Lytechinus pictus: one gene and its partner. The protein of the gene in region 1 interacts with the protein of each later gene in a pairwise test. Links are inferred from orthologs where the notes say so. Each region holds a gene or a part of one and is shown in the gene's direction. Other genes may lie near its edges.

Region 1 (12,735 bases):
AAGCAATTAGATCGGTGCGCGCTGATTGGCTGGCGGCGATATTAAGGAATGCATGACGACAATTCTCGCTCACGATGACGTCGATCGGGGCGCCTTTCGGGGGGTCTTCGTATTTTTTTCTCGTCAACCACAGCGATGAATTGCCTTCTATACATATACACAGCGATGTATTGATATAGGTCCGGAGTTGCAAGCCGATGAGCTTGGGAGAAGCGTCGTTGTTCGCGAGCCCGCTCTCAAGGCAAGTTACAAGTGAGCCCCATACCGTTAGCACTGCGATACCATTGTATCAGTCTGTGTTGTGTGGTTCAGAGGGTTCCTTCGTAGCTTCGCCGTGCGGCTCAGTACGGGAGGAGATTCGAAACCCCCTCTCGCACTTTCTCTCCCTCTCTCAGGCGAGGCAAGCTGGATTATCCTAGCCGAGCACTGTCCTGTAGTTGGCTGCTGATTTGTCCTCAAAATATCGGATCTTGGAAGTGGGCCAGGTTCCGCCCGTATATGGCGAGCTCCATGCACGTGTTACTTCCACCGTTACAACTGAAGTTTGGAACATTCTTAAACAAGGAGTCTGAAGAAGAGTGGGCAACAGTGGACCGAAACGGAACCAGGCGTTCGGGTGAGGCATTCAGTCAAATTGGCTTGGTTAATTAATGCACAGATGCCGTGATTGCTGCGATCAAATATTTTGTTATAGGCATGTGACTTTTTTTTTCAAGTGCCCTTTTGTCTCGGGTTGTCGTGAATCATCCCGTGTATTTTAAAATACCTTAAGTGAACTGTTTGCAACCTGTAAGATGTTTTGCAGCACGTAAAGCTATTATTTTGTAAACTTGCTACAGGTTATTTGCTTTTTGCCTGTTTTGTGTCTTAGTTTAGTAGGCTATTTAGATTGACTCCGCGATATATTGAGAAATCAAATTATATTTAATCTTGCATGATGTTCTTTTCAAATTCGCAGAATTCATCTACATAAAAGCAAGAAGTTAATCGATTGCTTTGTCCTTAAATTATGGTACTTTGTTTTCCCCCCTCCATCGTCTTCATGTTATAAAGTACTCTGATCCAAAGAAGGATTACAGTGGGGATGATGTCCATTTGTTTACTCTCAGACAACGATATTCCAAGATTAGATTTTTCGATTTTTTTAATATATGTCCACTTTGTGTCAATCTTAGGCAGTCCATGCATGCTCCCGGATCAAAGAAGACCGCATACTTAATAAAAGTACGTCTACTGTAGTAAAAAGTGAAAGTACGTTCACAGTCGTGGACTCACTTATCCTCTGCAATGCATTCAACTGCCCCGGTCAAACAGTGTTCCTGCATGCAATCATGCATACTAAGAATATAGTGTGCTTGGCATGAGGTGTGTGTGTGTGTCTATGTGTGCGGGGAGGGTGGGAGAGGGTTGTTTGTATGTTGATGTACATGATGCTTATCAGCGCCGAGGCCAATATATGGAAGTTGTATCGAGGATAGATTGGATCGGGATTCCTTCAGTGTGTAGGCGGCTATCTTTTTAAGGGAGGTTTAACTTAGCGCTCGTGTGTGTATAAAAAAAGTCTCATCTAGTAGCTTAGCTTAGCAATGGAAATTATTCTCAGAGAGATCATTCCATACAATACGATGTGATTAATTTATATAAAACGAGCCAAGGGCGATTTGCCTCAAGATGTTTGATGACCTAATGACAAGAATTAACTCACGAATACAGGAAAGTTAATTTTTAAAAAAACATGGTTTGAGAGAGAAGTGATGGATTTCTCTTCTTCGCAAAGGAATATCATTGATCATTCCTTTTCTGGGGTATTTCTCTTTATCATTATGGATTTGGAGCATTTTTTGACGGATATACCTCTTCTTCTTCTTCTTCAGAACACAATGTAGCTAGCATTGCAAATAATGGTGGATGTTTAAAACTTAAAAGCGGAAAAACAAGCATTCTACAGGCCTATAAGAATATAATTCTCAAGGAATGTATTTTCATCTCCTGCATATTCAACCAGATGACAAACCCGGAAATCCAGATAACAGGTATTTTACAAGAAGATGATATTCCTCCTTTGTAATACTGATACAGGAAATGATAAAGGGAATAATTCTGATGATTTGTTACCCAAGGTTTGAGCATTCGTACCTCTGCCAATGTGTTTGCTTATATCCATCGATGACAAGCGGATCTGTTGAGCATTATTACCCAGGATAAATAGCTTCATCGAGTCACCTTGGATAATTTGTCATGATATGACTCGATTCTAGAGCTTTAAGGATACATGTACTACACACTTTCCCACAAGTGCAAACCGACGGTATAGGTATGTCTAAAACGAGGGTGCCTGGCAATATGTTGAAGGTATTTACCAGCTGTCTCAATGTAGCTGCTTCGATCATTACCTACTGTATGTGCAACACAGCCAAGATGGTCTTCCAACTGGTGTGTGACATAATTAATCTCCCTCGTCCTGAACTCCATTATTCATCAATATTAAGAGAAGGATTTGCCTATACCTTCAAGTAAAAGTCGGTCATTATGAGAGATATGAATATCCTTCTGGCGAGCAAATTGTGAGTCTTGTCCAGGTAGATTTTGTCTAAATACCTGGCTACAAGATTTTTCATGGGAGCAATGCAGCATGACTAACGTTGATATAATACCATGGAAGGTCAATACAAGCGTAAGGAATGAAGTTCTATTTGTTTCAGTTATTAACAAATTGTTTGCTGTAACACCAATTGATGCATCAAAATACATCAAATAGAAATAACATACTGTAATAATTGAAAAGAACAAAAACAAAATGTCATTGAAAATGAGTTAAGAAGTATACATTCAATAAAACAAATTTGAAAGGATTAAGCAAATTACACCCCATTGAACATATGCTATATTGCAATAATTCTATGTTATTTATGATTTCTTGGAAATGATTAAGATGTACATTCTAGTGTAATTATTGTATACCCAGTATTCGGCGCAACTGAAAATCAAATTACTCAAATGCCATTCACATCTCGTTCTTTAAAATATAGTGTCTTTTTAAACATAGTGTCATAAAATGAGTTCTTTCAAGTTTTATTTGAATTTATTTCAAACAATTTTTCTTCACATTTCAGTTCTGTAGAGTTTTAAACGGGTTAAAATGAAATATATGTGTTTCTTGCAGAAATCCATTCACGTGTGCTTGAAAAGTTCGGTTATAACAACAACAAAAAAGAAGTATATGAAGGTGTACTGTGGATGACATCATTTTCTATGATTAAAGAGGAATCAATTTAGTCAACACAATCAAACAAGCCTTCAGTTAACAGAATTAATGACAACTTTCGTGGAAAGTAATAGAATAAGATTGGATAGGTGTTTGATTATGAATAAAACACAAATGAAATATGCGATGGTTCTTCAGATAATGCAGTTTATGTCAGAAAAACATAGATTTAGGGAGGGGGAAATGTAACAATTTGAAATCTATGTCATGAATATACTCTCCAACATAGGTATAGGCTATCGCCTATTTGTCCTGTTTGATCTTGGAAAGGGAAGTGGAATATTAGTTGAAGTAGAAAATTCAACAATCAAATATTTTGATATCAAAATCAAGTTTTATCATGACAATGCAAAAAGATTTCATTGTATGTCCATGTAGATAGCTGGAAAATCAGCTCAACCCTCTCACCCTTGGCATAATTATTGTTAAAAATATTGAATGAAGAAACCACGCAGAGCTATATGCTAGGTCTTCTCTTCATGTAATTTTGTCTTGCCCTAAGTGCACATATTCAAAAATGTTAACGTGTTATATGTGATTATGTGTTGGCCTGGCTAGAAAAATAGGGAAAGTAAACAGATTCTGTTCAAACTAGGCCGTATCATACCTTTCGTTTCGCAAAGGCATGACTGATTTCATTTTCATATAATCCATTCATTAGTACATTTTACAGAGAAATCATACTGTTCCTGTTATATGATATTTACTATTTCGCATCCAGATATCCGGCGATTTATGCCTCGTAAAATCTTACGATACCCCCAACTACTTTATATGCATGGGGAAATATAAAGGCCGTTTTATGCCTTTCATTTCGCATAGAAAGGCATAAATGATTTCAGATATCCATTCATTAGTATATTTTACAGAGAAATCATAATGTTCCTGTTATATGATATTCACTATTTCGCATTCTGAAGTCGGGCGATTCATAAAGTTTTACGATCCCCCAACTACTTTACACAAACATGAGGAAATATATCACGTCACGGTGTATCGTCCTATAGACATCCGTTAATCTCTACCACACCAACGCCCCCATGTCGTTATCAACTCATACTTGTCAGGGAAACCATACAACATTTGAAAGTCGCATTGATAGATTCCTATCCACAATGTATACCGTTATGCATTGACTGCTCTCTGAATTATATATAAAGGCCCAACCGCGAAAACATTTTTCACTTTTTGTTACAACTCCAAGCAGTTGGTGATATCTTCAATATTTTGTTCCATGCCCGCCTCCTAGACTCGCCTTTCGTTCGAATGGGTGCCGTTGGACATGTTGAATGGTAATGTTACTTTTTGTCTTTCATTAGACTTTTTTTAATTCTTCATTTCATTCATGTTGTGATATCATACTTGTTTTTCTTATTTCATCCTTTAATATTTCGACATGTTTATGATATTATTCATGGCTATATTGCTAGAATCCCTGAATTCCTTGTATTCTTACGGGTTTGATAGATTTACAAATTGATTTTGGTGCCTGGGAATAGCCAAAGTGTTGGCAAATTGTATTAAGGCGAATGCTATAGTGGTCTCTAAAAATGGAATTATTGAATATATAAACATTTTGAATCCATAAAGTTTCTTACCTTGAAAATACTTTTTTCCCATTTTCAGCATCTTTCAATAATCTGATACCATATAAGATCAGACATTTAAATTAAAGACAGAACAGCTAGTTAAAAGTTCATGGTTTCATTGTTTTTGTATGTACCTTTCTCAGTGAATAACTTAAATTTCTTGATAAGAACGACTTATCTGCATGGGCGTATATGTTTCGAAACACTTCATAATAATTATAGAAATAAATATAATATATCAAACTTGTAATAAAACAATATTGGTCTCTTCGTTAGAAATCATTTGCTATCATTTCTTTCGCTCGGTCTTCAATTAAATCGATCCCCTTTTGGATTTCTAGGATTTCTTTTAATATACTCAAAATATATGACAACTTTTATATAACGATGAGACCATGCAAGACATTAGAAAAACTGGCAAAGCATTCGTTATTCTTATTGACCTATTCAAGTGATGAAAATATATACAATAATCGCTTAAGATACCAACTTTTCGTTTTGCTTCATTTCCATAACTAGCTTAGTAATCATAGCCGTCATGAATATTAAACTCCAAACGAAGCTATTGGCATATGAGCTGAATTACTCAAAATAAAACATGAACATAAACAAAATTATTGTGTTTTAAGATATTTGTCGAATTCAATCAACACATGCATTTTCGGAGATATGTCGGGTAATACCCTTTACATTGCTTTTAAAAGGAATTACCTCCAAATCGTTAAACTATCCCAGTCAATACCACCGAATGAGATTAAGTTATGGGCTAGATGAATTTACGAGAGTTTTCCGTACATGAAAAATAAATTCTTATGATAATACATTCTTTCCTGAGAAGATATATTTTCAATTCACATTAATAGCTATATCTGTTTTAAAACAAACATCAAATGAAACAAATTGCACTGACAATTGATAATTAAAAATGAAACTTATAAACATGATGAAAGATCAAAAAGATGGATGACGACAATAAGGCTCGTGTAAAAGCTTGCTCTGGATATATATAATGCATTGGATATCCATTTCATAATCACTTTCTTCAGTGATTGTTTTCAAAAGGCGCCATAATTCGTGTAATATTTGACTCTTATTTAACAACGGTATTACATTCCTTTTTTTTAATGTCCAATATCACCCTTACGGATTAAAATATAGCGTTTACTGTGAACGAGATATTAGATGCATTAGATAAGATAGTGAAAAAGTAAACGAACAAAAGATACGAAAGATATATATCATAGAGCTATAATGTTATCTCGTCATTTGAAATGATCGAAGGGTGACTATATGCTTTGCGATTACCAGAGATGAATATTTTTAAAATACTGTATTCAGAACGAAAATGGTTACACTCGGAGAAATAAGGAGTTCCTAACACAAGGGTGATCATCTACTATTTCAAAACTGTGTTCCCTCTTCAGACATTTTACCCCCTTTTATGATTGTATTTTAGAATATTAACATTTGTAAAATCCTGGATGTAGTTTGAATTTAAAGTTTACTATTAATGATATTAGCAAGATGAAAATCGTGCATTGTCTTACAAAAACAAGGCATTACATTATGAAGAGGGAAAGAATAGAAACCATACGATTCCTAGGTGACACAATAACTAAAATGTATGGCTTCAGAATTATCTTGGCTGTCAATCGAATACATACAATAATTTCATAAAAACATTGCAGGCTTCAAAGTTTATTTGTTGTTATGTATTGGAAAGTGCGTTGTTATTAATATCAAATAAGTGAATCTTATTACGGGGGTGATTCCAGAGTTAACATGACTATTTTCACTCATTTTGAGATAACATTACTCCTTTTTATCGCAAACTCACTCTTAAAAATCACTTCTTAGAGAGTGAACATAGAGACAAATCAGTATTTTCTATTTGTACATCCCAAATATTTGAAGTTGTTTTATTAACGAAAATTTGATATTCCTTTAAGATTGGATTATTTGCCCCCCAAAAATCAAAACAAACATAAATTATGAATAAAAAAACTGAATTTTTCAAGAACACTACGCTTTTAGGATATCTTTCTTTCATTTTTTTATTATAACACCGACTGATAACATACTCTTCTGTTTTACTGAGGTCTTTAACGAATTTGCAAATACAAGATGTTGTTTTCCGTGAAAAGATGTTCAGGGATGAAAGATTATAAAATGTATTATTTGATGATCAAAAAGAATGATTTTTCATAGCGGCATCAACATTTTTATTTTCAATTCGTTAGAATAAAAACTTGTCCTTAGAAATGATCAAGAGAAGCGAACGCCATCTGCATCGCACACTAGCACACTGTAAGGCACACACTCCTATATATCCATATACGAAGTGTATACATCTCCCAACGCTCCCTCCATCTACCTCAGTAAAGGGGCTGAGTTTATTTATAGCGCCGCTATTTGCGGAGAACTGTACGACAACGTCGATTCTGACGTCATACGAGGGTAACCCTCGAACCCTTGTGACGTCAAGGCGAGCGGCTTACACGCACAAACCTGTATGATGGTGCAGTCCCAGGTCCGCTTCTAACGAAGCGTACACCAGCGCTTTGCTGATGTCATAGCTTCTCAATTCGATATGAGGCTCGCCCGAGTAGGGGTTTATACTTTTGTCGCAGAGAAGCAGTGCGTTTCACTCTTGCTTGCTTGTGCCACCAACCAGCATCGTTTCTTCAGTCTTCGTACTCGTCAATGAGACTGAGAACGAGGAGGAGGGCCCGGTGTTTGGGTTTACAGCAAACATAAACAAGCAATCATCATCACTTTTTTGCAGTTTAGTCAACTGTGAAAGTTTTCCACTTTGTTTGACATCTTCCAAGTATTTTACTACTTTTTATACTGGAACACAATTTGTCGTCTGCTACAAGATTGTTTTACCCATCACAGTGTGGTGAAATAAGATCTTGAGAATATTTTTGTACTTCCTGACTCAGGTAAGAATGGATAGATTCTTATCAAATCCTTATTCGTTTCATCGTTTTACCTTGTGTGTCATAAAATAAGATTTTAGAGAATATGACCTTGTACAATAGGATCATAATAGAGAGGAATAACGGTTCACTTGGAGGTGTTATCTTATGTTCTGATCGGACATTGTGAACGTATTTGTATGTCTTCTATCATATTTGTAATAGTTTGTTTTATAGGCGGTTGCTGCTGATTACGAATATATCTCAGTATTTCATTTATACTTTCCCCATAAATCGGAATTTTCCTTGTGCGCTAACATACTTTGGGAAACTTTTTCTTTCAGAACTCGAGTGTTTATCATCTTTTTTATCAATGTTGGTTAATGAAAAAATACATTCTTTTACATTCTTTGCAAACCTCAGTTGGAATTATCACTTTTGACTAGTGTTTTTCACTCGATAAAAATATGCAATTATTTTTCACTTCAAAGTTTCAATTCGTTGGTTGTTATCAGAGAGTATGTGGGTGAAAGTGCCTGTGCGTGAGACTGCGGGTGTGCATGCCTTTGTGCGTGAGAGCGTCTGCGACTGCATATTCATGAGAAAGTCTACTTCTATATTCACAATATTTTTCTTATTACACTAATAAATAAAGTCAAGTAAATGAAGTCGATTTTACAATGAAGAAAATTCATTAACTAATGATTACTTCTGTTTATAGAGGAATATCTTCATTCATTTCCATGTATATCTTTATCCAAAGTGCATAGAGACTTAACTATAGCGTTTTGATGTGTGCTATATAAATACATTTTATTATTGTTTTCCCTAAAAACACGAAGCCTTCGTGGTATATACTTAATAGTTTATCGTGTTTGTAACAGAATAGTTGATATTTCTTCATCTCAGCCAACCTGTTTCGGGTTTTTAAAGTTTATTTTAGAGCTTATATAAAAATCTCAATATTGCCGAATTGTCAAAATGGCTCCTGATTTTAGGTATGACGGTATATATATATATATATATATATATATATATGTGTGTGTGTGTGTGTGTGTGTGTGTGTGTGTGTGTTAGTTCATATGCACATACACTGACTAATAACGTATACATATCATATTTACATAGAAGTGACGGGTAGCAGTATAGGCTAATATCATTAACCACCGGGCCTCATATAAGCTGGCTGCACATACTTGGAATATTTTCCGCATCTAATTGAAGCCGACACGCCATGGCCAACGGCAGGCCTGTGCATGGTTGTTGCGATTACTGGCTTCTCATATGCAGTTCTCTTTATTACACTTAATTAAAACTAAATATATGGAGTAGGTGAATATCGAACCAACTTCATTTTGCATTAGGCCTCATATTCGCTAAGACTACAGAAAAAAATGTATACAGTATATTATTTCACATTGTGTATTTATGTGAAATAATATCTTCTGGCTTTTTTTTATGAGAAACAATAATGGCATAGTACACATTGTTATGATGCTGACACCACCTACGCTGCAAAAACACCAGCATGGTATCTATATCGGTCCACACCAGAGGTGTTGAAAAAACACCGGTTTGGCGTTAGGCTAACACCAATTTGGCATTTAAGCAACACCAATTAGTGTTAAACCAATATCGATTTGATGCTTAACTGGTGTTGTTTCAAACGCTTCTCTGGTGTGGACCGATATAGATACTGGGGTGGTGTTAAATCAACACCGGTATTTTTGCAGTGTATAATTTACACAGTACTATAATATTCAGAAAAAGGATCATCCATCTCTATATTGATGATATTGACCTAGTTGGTTTTCCTTTGCAATTATTAACCTCACGAAACTGACATAGATCATAGTATGTTTGCACTTTAAAAAAAAATATTCCATATTCAATATATAATCAGATTCCATTATAAAACAGATACATACATCCCTTTCTTATACGTTTTACTATGCTAGGAGTATCGGTAAATCCTACAACAATATTAGTACGTAAGTACCGCGGCGCCATGTAATGGTAAGGCATCTAGCAATCTCTGTACATTATGCGCGCAGTGGGAGGTACCTGTCCACCTCAATAGTCTTCAATGTAGGGGTTGGGTATGGCAATGTACTATCACCAATGCATTCAATGCAAGCTTTATACATCTTCATATCAAGGCGAGCGGACAGACTCCGGGGTATTCATAATATACGGATATAAGACGAAATAAGATGGAACGGCCGCTCAATTTTCATCATCAAAATTCTCAATATATCGGGTAGTAGACATGGCTTCACTTCAAGTATGTAATATTTCTTTTGCTATCATCTGGGGTAGATTAAGAATTGTCCACTTGTTTTTTGTGTTTTTATTTCGTTCCCACCAACGTGGCCATATTTCTGTTTTCTATCGCAACCTATTACAGACAATTATGGATGGATGTTTATTGTGAAGCATGCAAACACTTTGCCCCGCCTTAGCTTCCAGAAATCCAATAGCAAATTCAGTGGATGAGAGGGTAGCGCGATTTGCGTAAGCATCCTGTGTATATGTACTCAGCATACATCAATTTTGGTAGCCACTTCAGGGGCGAATTTTCAAGTGTTTAATCGTTTTACTCTCTTTCCTATATCTCCCCAATATATGTGGGGGTAAATCTCCAGAGCTCAAATAAAAGGCGCTTATTGTGAATATGATTTGCCGCCTTCATACCAAAGAATCTGAAGTGGATATCAAAATTAAACATCTCTACCGTTACGTTTACCTCTACCGATCCATCAAAACTTAAAGATAAACTCTTTCAAGTATATAAGTTTGCATGAAGTTGGATAAATGTACACACATCATCACCATAAAGAGAGAAAAGAGTGTGTTTGCCTCTGTATTGTACAGCTAAATGAATGAATGGAGCAGGGGGGGGGGGGTGAGTCAAATCGTAACCCGTAACATTATAACCCGAAATCTAGGTACACAATTGCAACTTATTTGGTAAGAAGAATCCAACCAACGATTTCACAGACATACTACGTTTTATTTTTTTAAAGCTGGATGGCAACATTTCAATGTTTAAACTTTCTTTCGAGGGACAAATTTGCTACCAAAAAGACCCCATTTTACCCTTTTTTGTACACAGTCATGAGATGAAACACGCTTTGTTTGCGTTATTAATATAATAAAAAGTCATAAGTACAGTATATTTAGAAGCTTACGTCAGTTATCATATATCCCCTCGAGTATTCACTAATTCATCCATGTAGGCCAAAATGAGTGAATGGTTTTAGTATATACCAGTGATCGTAAGAATACACCCACGTCATTGCATGGTAAATCAGATTTTCCTTTTGATATATTCTATTTACGTCGCCTCGATGAAGCGAACGGAGTTACGACTTCGTTGACTGCAATTATCTGCATTTTTATTAAGATGTCTCAAAACATGTTGGCCGCAATCGTTCTCTCTCTCTTTTTTTTTCTCTCTCTCTGTTTCTATCTTTATTCGAAGTATGTCGGACAGCAAATCCTTGCATACATTGTCACAAGTCTACAATTTGATCGTTAACATCTCTTTCATGGAATGGAATTCTACCTCTGATTATTGATACTGAAGTCCAAATACATATTCTTTCACGGAAAGTCCACATTGTCATTGAATGTTTTCCAAATAAGAATAAAAACAATGCCAACAAAGTAAATGAATGATGATCGATTTCTGTTTAGCGGGAAACATAGCAATGTCTCTATTTCTTGAGCTAATTAACAATTTAGAATAAAATTATCTTTTAATTCATGTGACATTTTAAATATATTTCCCCATTGTGAATCTATTTGTTGGACGTTTCCAAGAAACTGGAAATGATTAACCCAAGTGTGGGCACTTTCTAATTTCCTTAAACCAGACCTATGAGTCAAATGTTGTTATTCAAAATATTGAAAAAGGTTGTTGAAATTAAGTTTCATTTTGGAAACAATTCAGGAAGTTCTTAAAATAATAGTTTTACTGGTCTGGTACTTGGGTAGGCGATAGGAAGCGATAGGATAATGTCCGTCAACAACCCTCCCACCAATTATTGATGGTGGATATTTAATGTGTCCCCACCTTTTGATATACATCAGCATATATGAAGCATATCACACTTGACAATAATTGGGGGTTTTAGAATGTGGAAGTGAAAAAAGGGAAAACACAGGCACGCCTGTAATGATACTACTGCAATCTACTGCAATATCCCAATGATAATGTGCATTTGTGTTTCAATATGAACATGTAACGGTTGGACACAGTGGTTATAATGTGCCTTCAAATCTGTGCATACAACACAATACAGGCCTTTGGGAGCAGACGATATCACAGTGAATGCCGGGTGCTTCTCTTGGGTTTGCTGAGATTTGGTGACGTCACATCAGATTTAACCAATTAAAAAACGGAAGCCGTGCTTAAAGCGGGAATCTTCTGTGTTGCATCCAAGTACGGCAGCCCTTTAAACGGCGTCGCAAAGAGACTTCAAGGGGCGCTACCAATACCCGAGATTGACCATGATGCTGGTAGGCGCACCCACTTCCTTTGGGACCGGGTACCCTCATGTCAATGGCTACCCAACCTATCCTTTTGATGACTTCGAAGCCTATTCAGGTGCTTACCTCAATATTAATCATCCTAAGTGTTCAACACCCATCGTCTTGATCATTGTCTGTAAATACAATGTTGTCGAGACACTGATCCGTTAATTTCATTTAGTTTTCTTTTCATGAACAGTGCAACTAGAGTGCTCAAATTCTTGTTTGTCTCTTAACTTATGTGAAATAACAATTCACCCCCTTCTCTCTCTCTCTCATCCTCTCTCTTTCTCTCTCTCTTCTATCAACTTTTTTTTATTTTGGCGTTTTTCTCAAATGAAAATACCTCCTCAGTCGATATTACCGTTAAATTGACAATGAAAATTATCGCAAAAAAACCGCAAAAATAATTAACCGAATCGTC
Region 2 (13,064 bases), on another chromosome or scaffold:
GTGGTGTCATATGTTTGAATTTTATTGTGAAATACATGTATATGTGTATAATACATGTATTTCCATGCAAACGAGGTGTTGGGAAGAGTGAGTATTGCGATAAAACTTGATTTCTTAAAAGGGGGAAGTCAGGAAAAGAAGAAGTAGAAGAGTTAAGATGAAAAAAATTAAGGAGATTAGAGACAAAAGGAGGAGAAAAGGGAGGGGAGAGAGAGAAGGAGGAGGAGAGAAGAAGAGATCGACCAAAGAGAAATAGAAGGAAGGGTAGGAGAGAAGAAGAAGAAAAGATGAACCTAGAGGAGATATGTCAGGAAGAAGACAAAAAAAAAAGGGGGAAAAATATTTTTATAATAAATTCCCAACATTTGATATGCATAGTAAACTTATTATCAGTATTATAAATAAAATATATCCAGAGCCGGGGAGGATTTATTAACATCCGATCTTTCATCAAATAAAGTTCTTACATGAATAATTTAGAACAAACGAGGTCTGAGATGTGGCACGATCCTCAAAATAGTGTCTATATAATATTGGCACTTAAATCAAGTTGACACTATTTAGGTCGATCTACATGAGTAGAAACTAGAAGCGCTCGTGTTGTTACTTAATTGCCCCTCCCTTATATAAAAGCCACTCCTAGATTTTTCCCCCGAGGCTTTTTTCCCCCGGTATGTTTTATGTCCCCTTTTTTTTTTGGGGGGGGGGTGGAAATAGAATACATCCATTCAATCATACTGTGGCGCACGCGCAGCATGCTTGCAAGGGCGTGGTTCTGAAATAGAATAAAACAAAACAAACAACGTAAACAACTAGCAAGCAACGCGCCGTTTTGGAGAGAAGTAATTTACCGGCACTAAATTTACAAGAAGTCTATAATGGAAGTGTTTCGTCGTTTGAAAGAGTACATTTGTTGGTTATATACTCAATACACCCTTGTGACTGCTGTTTATATGCTCGAACCAGCAGAAAGATATACTTTCAGTATCCTTTTCAACAAGCATAAAAAATGCATTGTCCCACACATTTATAATTATGTGGTGGTGGGAAATTTGCAACTCTCACTGCACTGGAAATCCAGTCTGCCACTGCCGGTCTCTCACGCGGGCGCCACGGTATGTGGTGCACAGTTGGCATGGCTGGGTTAATAACTTAACTTGAACTTGACTTAAGAGTTAAGGCTGTCAGTATTAAGTTTAATTTCTTTTATTGATTAAATAGACTTTAAAGGCCAGTAATTACCAGAGATGATATTTTACTTGGCGGAACAAACATACATCGGCAACTATTTTTAATTCTAAAAAAAAAAAGATTGTTTTTAACCTAATACTTAGTCGTTAGTACTTTGTTAGTTGATCTAACTGTTTTACGGCATATACCTGATTGTATTTGTTTGTCCAGACAAAATGGCAAATTCAGGAACTTTGCGATCAATATTTCATCAAATTATTTATAAAATACACAACAATTATTAAAGAGCTCGAATTTCACAATTATTTTTGTTATTTAAATGCATGAGATATGAATTTTGAAAAAAGTCTTGAGCAAAGATGATGTATTTATCTGCTTATAAGTGTCTGGATATCAGACCCCCATCCTGTAAGTTTAATATGCAACCAGTCTGTTAGTTCGCCATCAGCAAATCAATTGCTGTATCGCTCATCTGTTACTCTGACCGTATTGGTTTTTTGAATTATTGGCAGTGTTAAAGAAGGATGTCTTGTGACATTTGATATTAATCCTTGAATGTTACAGCATTTGGAAAAAGATCCAGCAAAAGAAGGACTTTAGTGCAGTCATAGTTTGACTTGCTTGCTTCTCATTTGGTCCTTACTGTCCGAATATTAGCAGCCAAGTTTGCTTGGATGACGGTTTGAGAAGCCCCTACTCTGCAATCAAAGTGTTCCAATCTGCTGTTTGATGCAAGTTACCAATAGTTGACCAGTATCAAATTGGAGTTTAAATTACATATCATAGGCCTACCATTTTGAAAGAAGGGGTGATAGTTGTTATCAAAATAAGAGGGGTGGCATACTAAAGAAGATCTCGGTGCACGGAGAGGCTTTAATTACCCTAAAAATAATTAAATTTGATGCCTGTTTTCATTAAATTTCCTGATTCCCACAAGACTGATTGTTTTCCTTAACGATGGAACCTCAGATTCAATCATCGTGCTGACAATTCTAACTGCTGCCTACACCACCTACATCTACCTGCCATCTCACTGTACCATGGTACTTGGATACCTTGGGTTGCTTGATGCCGCCTCTCCAACAACATGACAGAAGATTGGATATGTGGGACTGGTAACAAGATGGCCGAGGATGAGATGCATTTGATTACAGACTCTGAGGGGTTTATTATGTCATGAAGAGGCTTAATGCTGATGGATGACGTTAGTGTTTCATGAAAGGACTTGTCGAAATGTTCTATCCGTTATGTCCGACAGTTGCCATAGGAACTGTGCTTCTCAGCCAATCATTATCAAGGGAAGTTGGCAGATCTGACAACTTGGTCGGGCGGAAAGTGTTGATGAAATCAGCAGCTGCTCTCAAGTGCGACTGTGTTCTCCAAGAAATAGCTTACTGAATCTCCAATGAAATATGTTTCATAGCCTCACTCACCGGATCGGAAAATGCATTGCTTAACGCTTATTGTGTCAACTCTTTTTTAGAATTCAATATTTTCAAACGAAAAGAAAGAAACAAAATTCCAAAAGGTACTTCCTCTTCTTTCCTCGCAATGTACAATTTTAGAAGATAGCCGTCTTTCTTTCACCATCCCCCTTTGCTTGCTTTGAACTGTTTGTTTTCCAGTATAAATATCAAGTTCTTTTCCAAGAAATTTTTTTGTAGGGCTCTAGGCTAGAATGGGCTGTCTTTCTAATAAAATTCCAAGATGCTTCCTTATTCTTAGTTATGAATGTAATTTACCTTTCAGGCCTCTCCTGTAATGAATGTCATGATATTATTATAATTGTGTAAACGTATTGACCAGGGGCTCATTGCATAAAAGTCTTCATTATGGTTGCCCCGGGGACCTCGACACGTCTTAAGACAGTGTCGAGTACACTGTACACAGTACGTGTTCGGGCTGCCGCAGTAATCATTATGGTAACTTGGCCATGCGATTTTAACTTGCATCATACATGTAGAATCATTGATTTTGATTAGCTGCTGATCAGTGTTACCATGGTACATGTAGTTACCATTGGAGGGCAATTTTACCATATTTGTAGTAAGTTTTATGCAACAGGGCCCTGGGCTGGTATTCAATTTGATACCTCCGCCATAATTTTAAATATTTTACTCAGTGTCTTGCTTAATTAAAATAGTTTTAAATAGGGCTTCAGCCTTATAGTTATAAATATGCTTCAGAATGGAGGCCTGGCTCTGAGGTCAGTAGTGCACATGCAGTCCTCCCTGGATGCTCACGGTGCTATCCTAGCAACAGTTCTACATGTAGTAATAATGGAGAGTGCAGACTGAAACACAGCACCGACTATAAATTGTAGTACTGCTAATTCTTCCTTTAAAACAAAAATTTTCCTTTGTTTAAACAATACTGGGGCCCGATGCAGAAACAGTTGCGTTTAAACGTTACGTAAGCCAAAAAATCAATCGCAAGTTCCAAATGCACGCTGGTTGAAAATCAAGTTGCGCATGATTTTTATAGTTGCGATTGATTGCAACTCTTTCTGCAATGCGCCCGTGAACATGTACCTGTACGGTACCTTTTAGTTTTCTCAATGATATCCATTTGACCATGTGAAGACCTAGATATTGATGATTACATGAAATATCTTTCAAAAGTTAGCGAGTTTTAATAGAATGAAAATTGTACTAGGTCTGATGAAAAGTGCAATTTGGATTCTAGTGCGATACATCTTTTTATATAAAATAAGGGGTAAATTATGGGTACATATTTGGATATTCCAAAATATATGTCCTTGTTGAAGAGAGTGAGAGGTGAATGGTTTTTTTTTTACAAAGTGACTGTGGTTGTCCATTTGGACTTTCACAGTGAATAGAATGTTTTCTTCCAAGTCTCTATGCCGTATGAAGTGTAATGAATCCATGATGCATACAAGTACAGTTGTATGTGAATGAAGGTCATTTGCAGGATGTTGAGATCTTATAGTTATAATTCTGTTTTATTTCTTGTTCCTTTTTATGGTAATGGTAACGCAAGACATTTCTTATATTGCTTTGTGATTCGACAGGGCTTTTTATGTTCAGGAGATATTTTGGGCCTCATTTCTCTGACTAGCAAATTTATTTAAATTATTTTTTTTTTGTAATTTGCATACTATGGCAAATTGCTGTAAACAGATTGAGAAATCATTATAAGAAATTATAATACACAGCGAGGGATTTTTAGTTCTAAGTTCCATATTGCTTACAAGGTGAACGGCTATCGGTATATCAATATAAAAGTTTCAACTTGCAGATTGATATTCTTAGAAAAGGGACTCGTGCTTTTCTGATTTTCATCTGGAAACAGTGGAAATATTTTTTTTTTTAAGAATTCATTAACAGCTATTTGCCACACTGTTAAACTCCTACTCTTTTATGTCTAAATACTGGTACCTGTCAACTGACTCAGTAGCAAAGACATTCTTCCATCTTGAAAGCTTTTAGAGGTCTCTGGGTCATACACGGAGCAACACATAACGCATGCAAAGTGATATCCTTTTAACTTAATATCCCAGTTTAGCTCGTTGCAAGAGCTTCTTTAGGGATTTCTTCTACAAGGATCAAGGTATTTAAGTACTGGTATTCTCACTCTTAAAATGGTATCTTCAGGCGTGTAGAATGTAAATTTTAACAAGGTCTTATGTTAAATTAAACTTGTCAACGTGTAGTGTAAATCTTCAGGATGCGATGCAAACAAAAAGAATTGAATGCAAATTCATAATGCCCTTGTACGAGATTTAATTGTAAATGTATCGTATCATGCATTTATTATTAATTGATGAACAATAATTCATTTGGATTAATGACATCTGAAATACATATGGAAACATTTTCTTTTTTATTTCTCAAATTTCTTGCATTTGAAAGACGGATGTCAGCTACATGTAATAATACAAAATAGTATATTTTTGTTGTTGTCAATGAAGTTTTTCATTATGTTTGGGTACTGGTTATAATTGATTTATGAGATACTTGAATGTGTATTTATAATAAATTTTCATATGACAAGGAAAATATCTTGTTTGTTTCTTTTTTGTTGTTTCTTAAATTACATCCAGATATTGATTTTTTAAATAAATGTATCTATTAAAAAAATGTTTTTTTTTCTTATCATGTATTCCACTCTTGTTGTGTGTGTGTGTGAGGGTGTATGTGTAACTGATTTCATTGTTTTCTTTTAAGATATATATGATTCATTTTTATATTAAGTTAGTGAAAAAAAAGTAAAAATATAAAATGTAAAGTATTATATGTGATTTGAAATGTTAAATTGAAATGTTATGTAACTATTTGTTCATGAAATCATAATAAAAACAGTATTAAAAAAAATGTATGTGTACTCGGTCTCCCTTCTCCTTTCCCATCGTTATCTGTCTCTCTCCCCCTGTCTTTCTGCCTTCTCCCCTCCCTCCATCCATTCCCACCCCCCTCTCTTTAATTGGTAACTTAAAATGCTAATGAGATCATGTGTCCCCTCCCCCTTCTCTCTCTCTCTCATTTAAATTATGTTTAGATCACTTGGTGAAGAGTTGGAAAACCATCCCGTGTAAAGACCTTGCATTTTCATCAAAGGGAGAAATCCTCCCGATTTTTGGTTGGTTCTGACCTAAGTAAAACGAGAGAAACTTGTAGAGTGTTTGGCATTAGCTTTTTACCACATTGTTAAAATCCTGCTTGTTTTTATGTCTTATACTCTGCTTGAATGTGATTTTAGTTTTTGAATTTTAATTTAATGTGATTTTACTTAAGTAAATATTTGTAGTTAAGTATATAGTTTTAAGTTTTTTGTGTGTAAATTGTTATTTATATGTATTTGTTTTTTATCGTGCAGGGCCCCTTGGTAGAGCAGTTTTGTAACTGAAAGGGCTACCCTGCTGAAATAAAACGGAAATAAATAAATATTTAATTACCGGTACTTGTAAACTGACTAGGTAACAAAGAAGAATTGTCTTGCATTTCTTTCTCCGATTTCTGGTTCTTTTGACGGTCGGTAATGTTCTCAAAGGACAATGACTTGGTCCCGGACTTGGTCAGTTTATGAAGTGGCTTGAGAAAAATGTCTTGTATTTAAATATTTTTTTCAGGACAGTGTAGTTTTTGTCTCGCCTGCATAGCAGAGCGAGACTATAGGCGCCGCTTTTCCGACGGCGGCGGCGGCGTCAACAACATCAAATCTTCACCCAAGGTTCTGGTTTTGAAATGACATCATAACTGAGAAAGTATATGGACCTAGTTCATGAAACTTTGACATAAGGTTAATCAAGTATTAGTGAACATCCTGCACGAGTTTCAGGTCACATGACCAAGGTCAAAGGTCATCTAGGGTCAATGAACTTTGGTCAAGTTGGGGGTATTTGTTGAATTACTATCATAACTTTGAAAATTTATGGATCTAGTTCATGAAACTTGGACATAAGGTTAATCAAGTATTAGTGAACATCCTTCCTGAGTTTTCAGGTCACAAAACCAAGGTCAAAGGTCAGTTAATTGAAAGTTTATGGACAGAGTGAATGAAATGTGGACATGGGTGTAGTTGACAAGTCTTAAGTCACCGTTCAAATGTCATCTATGGTCAATGAACGTGGTTATTATGTCATTATATGAATGGTGTTTTAGTGAATGATTATTTTATAGTAGTTTTCTGTAGCACCGCTGCTATATTAAATCGCGTAATGCAGGCGAGACTGCCAGAGGCGTTCCACTTGTTTAGTTTTTGACGGCACTGCGAATTGTGCTCCCTCATAATTATGTTCTGATACATGATTTTAGCCCTGTTGTTATGATGGATAAATGAATTTTTTTTTTAAATGAAAATCAAGGATACGTCATAGTGGACTTCTTAAAGGGATGGTCCGGGCTGAAAATATTTATATCTTAATACATAGAGTATAATTCACTGAGCAAAATGCCGAAAGTTTCATCAAAATCGGATAAAAAATAATAAAGTTATTGAAGTTTAAACTTTAGCAATATTTTGTGAAAACAGTCGTCATGAATATTCATTAGGTGGGCTGATGATGTCACATCCCCACTTTCCGTTTTCTTATGTTATTACATAAAATCATAATTTTTTCATTATTTCATACTTTTGTGAATAATATGTTTCCCTTATAATGAAATAAGTTGCAGCAATAAATATCTAATGCACTAAATCAGTTGTCAATCCAATTTTTCTAGTTCTTGGAGGAAAACAATTCAATAAACCTAATTTCATATAATAAAATACAAAAGAACAAGTGGGGATGTGACATCATCAGCCCACCTAATGAATATTCATGACGACTGTTTTCACAAAATATTGCTAAACTTAAAATTCAATAACTTTGTTATCCGATTTTGCGGATGAAATTTTCGGCATTTTGCTTAGTAAATTCTACTTATTAAGCTATACATATTTTAGCCCGGACCGGACCATATTTAGGTGAGCTTTGTGTATATAAATGGCGCCCAAAAATAAGTCAAATTTTTTTTTGAGGGGCCAGACACGGAGTAAGGGGGAATATATATATCCCTATATCCCCCTTTTTTCTTAGTCGTGATTTTTTTTTACTCTCAAGTCCAATTTCCATTATAGGTTTCCTCTATTCCAATGCCTTACAGTCCGGGTTTTTTTTTTTCTTTCAAAAGAGGGTGTAATCACGGACGGTACAAGACGAGCTTTGAGATGCGAGTTTGGAATAATGAGAAACGAGGAACGAGCCACAGGGATGACGCAGATTGTGAGATAAGATTTGACAATGAAACGATGGTTGGAAAGAGATGAAACAAAAGTATGAGATGAGACATATAGTTGAGCTTTGTGGACTTGGTGTAAATTATAATCCCAGTTTTCTTAGTTACATGAGCAAAACATTTTTTAATTCAAATTCGGGGAAATTTCATAAAAATAAAAACTAAGTGAATTTTGCCTAAACCTATAGCCCCCCTAATTTTTTTCACTGTAAATCTGTAGCGCGAAATATCGTCCCAAGACACCTCATGACTATTTTTCAAGTCTTGCATGACTGTTTTTCAAGTCTCTGGGACGCGGTTTCGAAGTTACGTAACATTTTTAAGTGCATGTCAGACAGAAAATTATTCATAAACTGGGAAAAATGCACTCATTTCGAGCCCGTTTCGAGCAAAAAAGTCGCCTAGATATACCGGTACCGTATCTCGCCCACTGGCCTTGCGCCCTCTGTCGATCTGTTGTAACGTGACTAGCATTTTCTGAGCCGATTCTACATTCTGCGAACAAAACTGACGTCGTTTTATCCAGATTTTGTAGCACTAACATCACTATGAGCTCGATAGGAGCAGGGGTGAGTCGATCTATATATGATTTTAAAAGTTAATTAATGTTTTCATCACCTAGAATAAACAAAGAAGCAAGAATCGACCTTGAACTAGTGCACGATGTATTCAGTGTCTCCTTATTTCGGTCCCACCTGTTTATTTTCTCGTAGGATCAGGGCCCTTATTAATTTCAGTGATAATATCAGTTTTTTATCACTGAAATTAATAAGGGCCCTGATCCTACGAGAAAATAAATAGGTGGTATTATCCTCACAATTAATGTTGTAAATCGGATCAAAAATCAGATCGAAAATCGGATCGGCAGTTAAGCTTCTAAAATCGAAATCGAATCGAAAATCGAATCGGCGATGTTTAAAAACAAAGGAATACATCAAAATGTTGTTCGCGGTCGCGCGCATCTTCCTGACAAAGTCACAAAGACGAATGCATTGGGATGGAAGTCGCCAACATGCGCGATCGTTTTAAAGCCAGGGGTTTTGAGGTGTTATTGCTTTAAAATAAACCGAGTGATTTTTATTAGAAAGATAAACGAAAGACGCATCTTCCGAGCAAAGGCGCAAAGGAAAATAAAATGAAAATATTTCTCATAGATCACAGGTTAATGAACGATCGGCGGGACATCTTTTAGAAGTATTTTTAGGTGCTAGCGATTTAGAATTATTGGAATGATCTCTTACGACGCATCATCTAGTCGCAAGTGCAATTAAAATGAAGTAGAAGACGCAAGCACGCACGATGATTTGAAATATGTTATTAAAATGTTTTGGGTAGCTAGCGTTTTCAAATCAATTTGAAGTTCACGGCGGTGTCCGCTATCACCACGAGGTTGAAAATAAAATGAATATCATCATAAACGATGTAAGAGAGTAACGCAATAAGCTCCGTCAATAGTACAGTTTTTAAAAGTTTATGGCGGGGTCCGCTATCACCACGAGGTTGAAAATAAAATGTATATCATCATAAACGATGTAAGAGAGTAACGCAGTGAGCTCCGTCGGTAATACGACCTTTCAAATTTCACGGCGGCATCCGCTATCACCACGAGGTTGAAAATAAAATGTATATCATCATAAACGATGTAAGAGAGTAACGCAATAAGCTCCGTCAGTAGCACGATCTTTAAAAGTTCACGGCGGGGTCCGCTATCACCACGAGGTTGAAAATAAAATGTAAATCATCATAAACGATGTAAGAGAGTAACGCAGTGAGCTCCGTCGGTAATACGACCTTTCAAAGTTCACGGCGGCATCCGCTATCACCACGAGGTTGAAAATAAAATGTATATCATCTTAAACGATGTAAGAGAGTAACGCAATAAGCTCCGTCAGTAGCACGATCTTTAAAAGTTCACGGCGGGGTCCGCTATCACCACGAGGTTGAAAATAAAATGTAAATCATCATAAACGATGTAAGAGAGTAACGCAGTGAGCTCCGTCGGTAATACGACCTTTCAAAGTTCACGGCGGCATCCGCTATCACCACGAGGTTGAAAATAAAATGTATATCATCTTAAACGATGTAAGAGAGTAACACAATAAGCTCCGTCAGTAGCACGATCTTTAAAAGTTTATGGCGGGGTCCGCTATCACCACGAGGTTGAAAATAAAATGTAAATCATCATAAACGATGTAAGAGAGTAACGCAATGAGCTCCGTCAATAGTACGACCTTTCAAAGTTCACGGCGGCATCCGCTATCACCACGAGGTTGAAAAAAAAATGTATATCATCATAAACGATGTAAGAGAGTAACGCAATAAGCTCCGTCAATAGTACAGTCTTTAAAAGTTTATGGCGGGGTCCGCTATCACCACGAGGTTGAAGAGAAGATTTATATCATTATAAAGGGGGTAAGAGAGTAGCGCAGTGAGCTCCGTCGGTAATACGACCTTTCAAAGTTCACGGCGGCATCCGCTATCACCACGAGGTTGAAAATAAAATGTATATCATCATAAACGATGTAAGAGAGTAACGCAGTGAGCTCCGTCGGTAATACGACCTTTCACAGTTCACGGCGGCTTCCGCTATCACCACGAGGTTGAAAATAAAATGTATATCATCATAAACGATGTAAGAGAGTAACGCAATAAGCTCCGTCAATCGTACAGTCTTTAAAAGTTTATGGCGGGGTCCGCTATCACCACGAGGTTGAAGAGAAGATTTATATCATTATAAAGGGGGTAAGAGAGTAGCGCAGTGAGCTCCGTCGGTAATACGACCTTTCAAAGTTCACGGCGGCTTCCGCTATCACCACGAGGTTGAAAATAAAATGAATATCATCATAAACGATGTAAGAGAGCAACGCAATAAGCTCCGTCAATAGTACAGTCTTTGAAAGTTTATGGCGGGGTCCGCTATCACCACGAGGTTGAAGAGAAGATTTATATCATTATAAAGGGGGTAAGAGAGTAGCGCAGTGAGCTCCGTCGGTAATACGACCTTTCAAAGTTCACGGCGGCATCCGCTATCACCACGAGGTTGAAAATGAAATGTATATAATCATAAACGATGTAAGAGAGTAACGCAGTGAGCTCCGTCGGTAATACGACCTTTCAAAGTTCACGGCGGCATCCGCTATCACCACGAGGTTGAAAATGAAATGTATATAATCATAAACGATGTAAGAGAGTAACGCAGTGAGCTCCGTCGGTAATACGACCTTTCAAAGTTCACGGCGGCATCCGCTATCACCACGAGTTGGAAGAGAAGCGGAACTGCGGAAGAGAAGATATCTATCCTCTTAAACATCGCCATAGATAATACCGCGTCTTTCTCCCTGAATAATGCGACCTCTAAATAGCTAGCACCTCAAAAACAATCTTGAAATATGTTCTGAGCGATCACGCACTGTAACCAGATCTACGCCGATTTTTTATTTTCGATTTTTTCCTTCAAGGGGCATGATCGAAGATCGGCAAGTGATTGCCGATTGTGGTGAAATCGAATGGAATCGGTTGCCGATTGCAAAATCGGTTACAAGCTTACTCACAATACAATTCACTGATTTCTCAACGAAAAGAGATGCAACATGGGCAATAAAAAATACTGAATTTTTTTTAAAATAATTTACTTTTGCTTAAAAATAATTTAGGGCCTACTTTTGCTTGAAATTGCTTTTTGGGGGGCTTTTCTCTATTTGAATGTATACTTCGTATACATTCAAATACTACTAACTTCGTTATGTGTGGAGTCTAATGATACTTTCAATGACAAGATTTTTAACTCACCAATTTTTTTACCTCCTGATTTCCACAACTTCCTGCAACTTATTTATGATGACTTTTTAAATTTAGTACACATGTAGATCTAACAAGTTACTTTGATTTTTGGAATTTAATTTGCATGCTTGTATCAATGTTATAGATCTAATTCATATCATGGACTCTTACTATTCTTCGGTTTCTTGTACATGAATTCAACAAGCTGAGCTGGGGTCCGTTGCAGAAGAGTTGCATTTAAACACAAGTTAAAAAATAAATCGCAAGTCCCAAATGCGCGCTGTTGATTGGTTGAAAATCAAGTTGCGCATGATTTTTAGAGTTGCGATCGGTGCAACGCTTTCTGCAACGGGCCCCTGATCCTACGTTAAATTACAATTTTAGTTTTTAAATGTTTCTCCGTATTTTCATTCTTTTGTCCTCAGTATGATTTATCAGCTTCACAGTTCTCTCCAGATGGGAGGGTGTTCCAGGTGGAGTATGCCATCAAAGCTGTCGAGAACAGTGGCACGGCCGTAGGTCTACGATGCAAAGATGGCATTGTCTTTGGCGTCGAAAAGTTAGTCACATCAAAACTTTATGAGCAGGGCTCCAACAAGAGAATATTTACAGTCGACAGGCATGTTGGAATGGTAAGCTACATCTGGCCTTTATTGAATACAGATCAATCAAGCTTTAGTCCAATCCGAGGCTTTTGTATAATTGATTCTTTTGATATTTGAGCTAAGAAAATACAACTAAGCAAAACGAAACTACCAACACTGATCAAGAGAAACAAATAATATTTCTGAATGGGGGCTTTTTTCCAACATCTTCCCATTCTAATGACATATTTTATCGAAAGCAATCTCTATTTTCTATGGTTAATTAGCAATTTGTAATTTTTGACATTTTTTAAAAGCAAGAATTGCCTTTTGCTGCCAGCAATAGATTCCATCTGAGCTATTCTTTATATAGAATATGTATGCTATGCCTTATATACACCCTTGAAATTGGAATTCGCTACTTATGTATATTTGAAAGGGTGTTTCTTTTTTATAGATTTTAAGTCAACTTTGAAAAGTATGATTACATGTCTCCTCTTTACTTTATTTGACAGGCTGTTGCTGGTCTCATTGCTGATGCAAGGCAGGTGAGTAAATTGCTGCTACTTGTTAATTAAACCAATAGGGTATGCCAATTTGACCCTTTCTTTGCACAAAATTTGCATATATTGCAATTTATGTAACAAAATATTGCTAATTTGACATATTAAGCCATTTGAAGTATATATTTACTCCTACAAATTCAGTGATATTAAAAATTCTGTATCACATTCAGTCATAAAAACAATGAAATATACAAGGAAAAAAGTAA

The links.
Region 2: the proteins of nuclear receptor subfamily 4 group A member 2-like (region 1) and proteasome subunit alpha type-3-like interact in a two-hybrid assay, tested with the Caenorhabditis elegans proteins (2 studies listed by BioGRID). The link is inferred for Lytechinus pictus from reciprocal best matches to the Caenorhabditis elegans genes nhr-6 and pas-7.

Annotation. Positions count from the first base shown.
Region 1 is NC_087245.1:17,375,593-17,388,327, forward strand, and holds the start of nuclear receptor subfamily 4 group A member 2-like, read left to right. Parts: upstream 1-7,471; 5' UTR 7,472-7,799; intron 7,800-12,082; 5' UTR 12,083-12,290; coding exon 12,291-12,387; intron 12,388-12,735. UniProt on the Caenorhabditis elegans protein: Transcriptional activator that induces gene expression by binding to the NGFI-B response element (NBRE) 5'-AAAGGTCA-3'. Required for proper morphogenesis of the spermatheca and the spermatheca-uterine valve formation.
Region 2 is NC_087251.1:44,833,000-44,846,063, forward strand, and holds the start of proteasome subunit alpha type-3-like, read left to right. Parts: upstream 1-8,222; 5' UTR 8,223-8,476; coding exon 8,477-8,497; intron 8,498-12,133; coding exon 12,134-12,340; intron 12,341-12,807; coding exon 12,808-12,840; intron 12,841-13,064.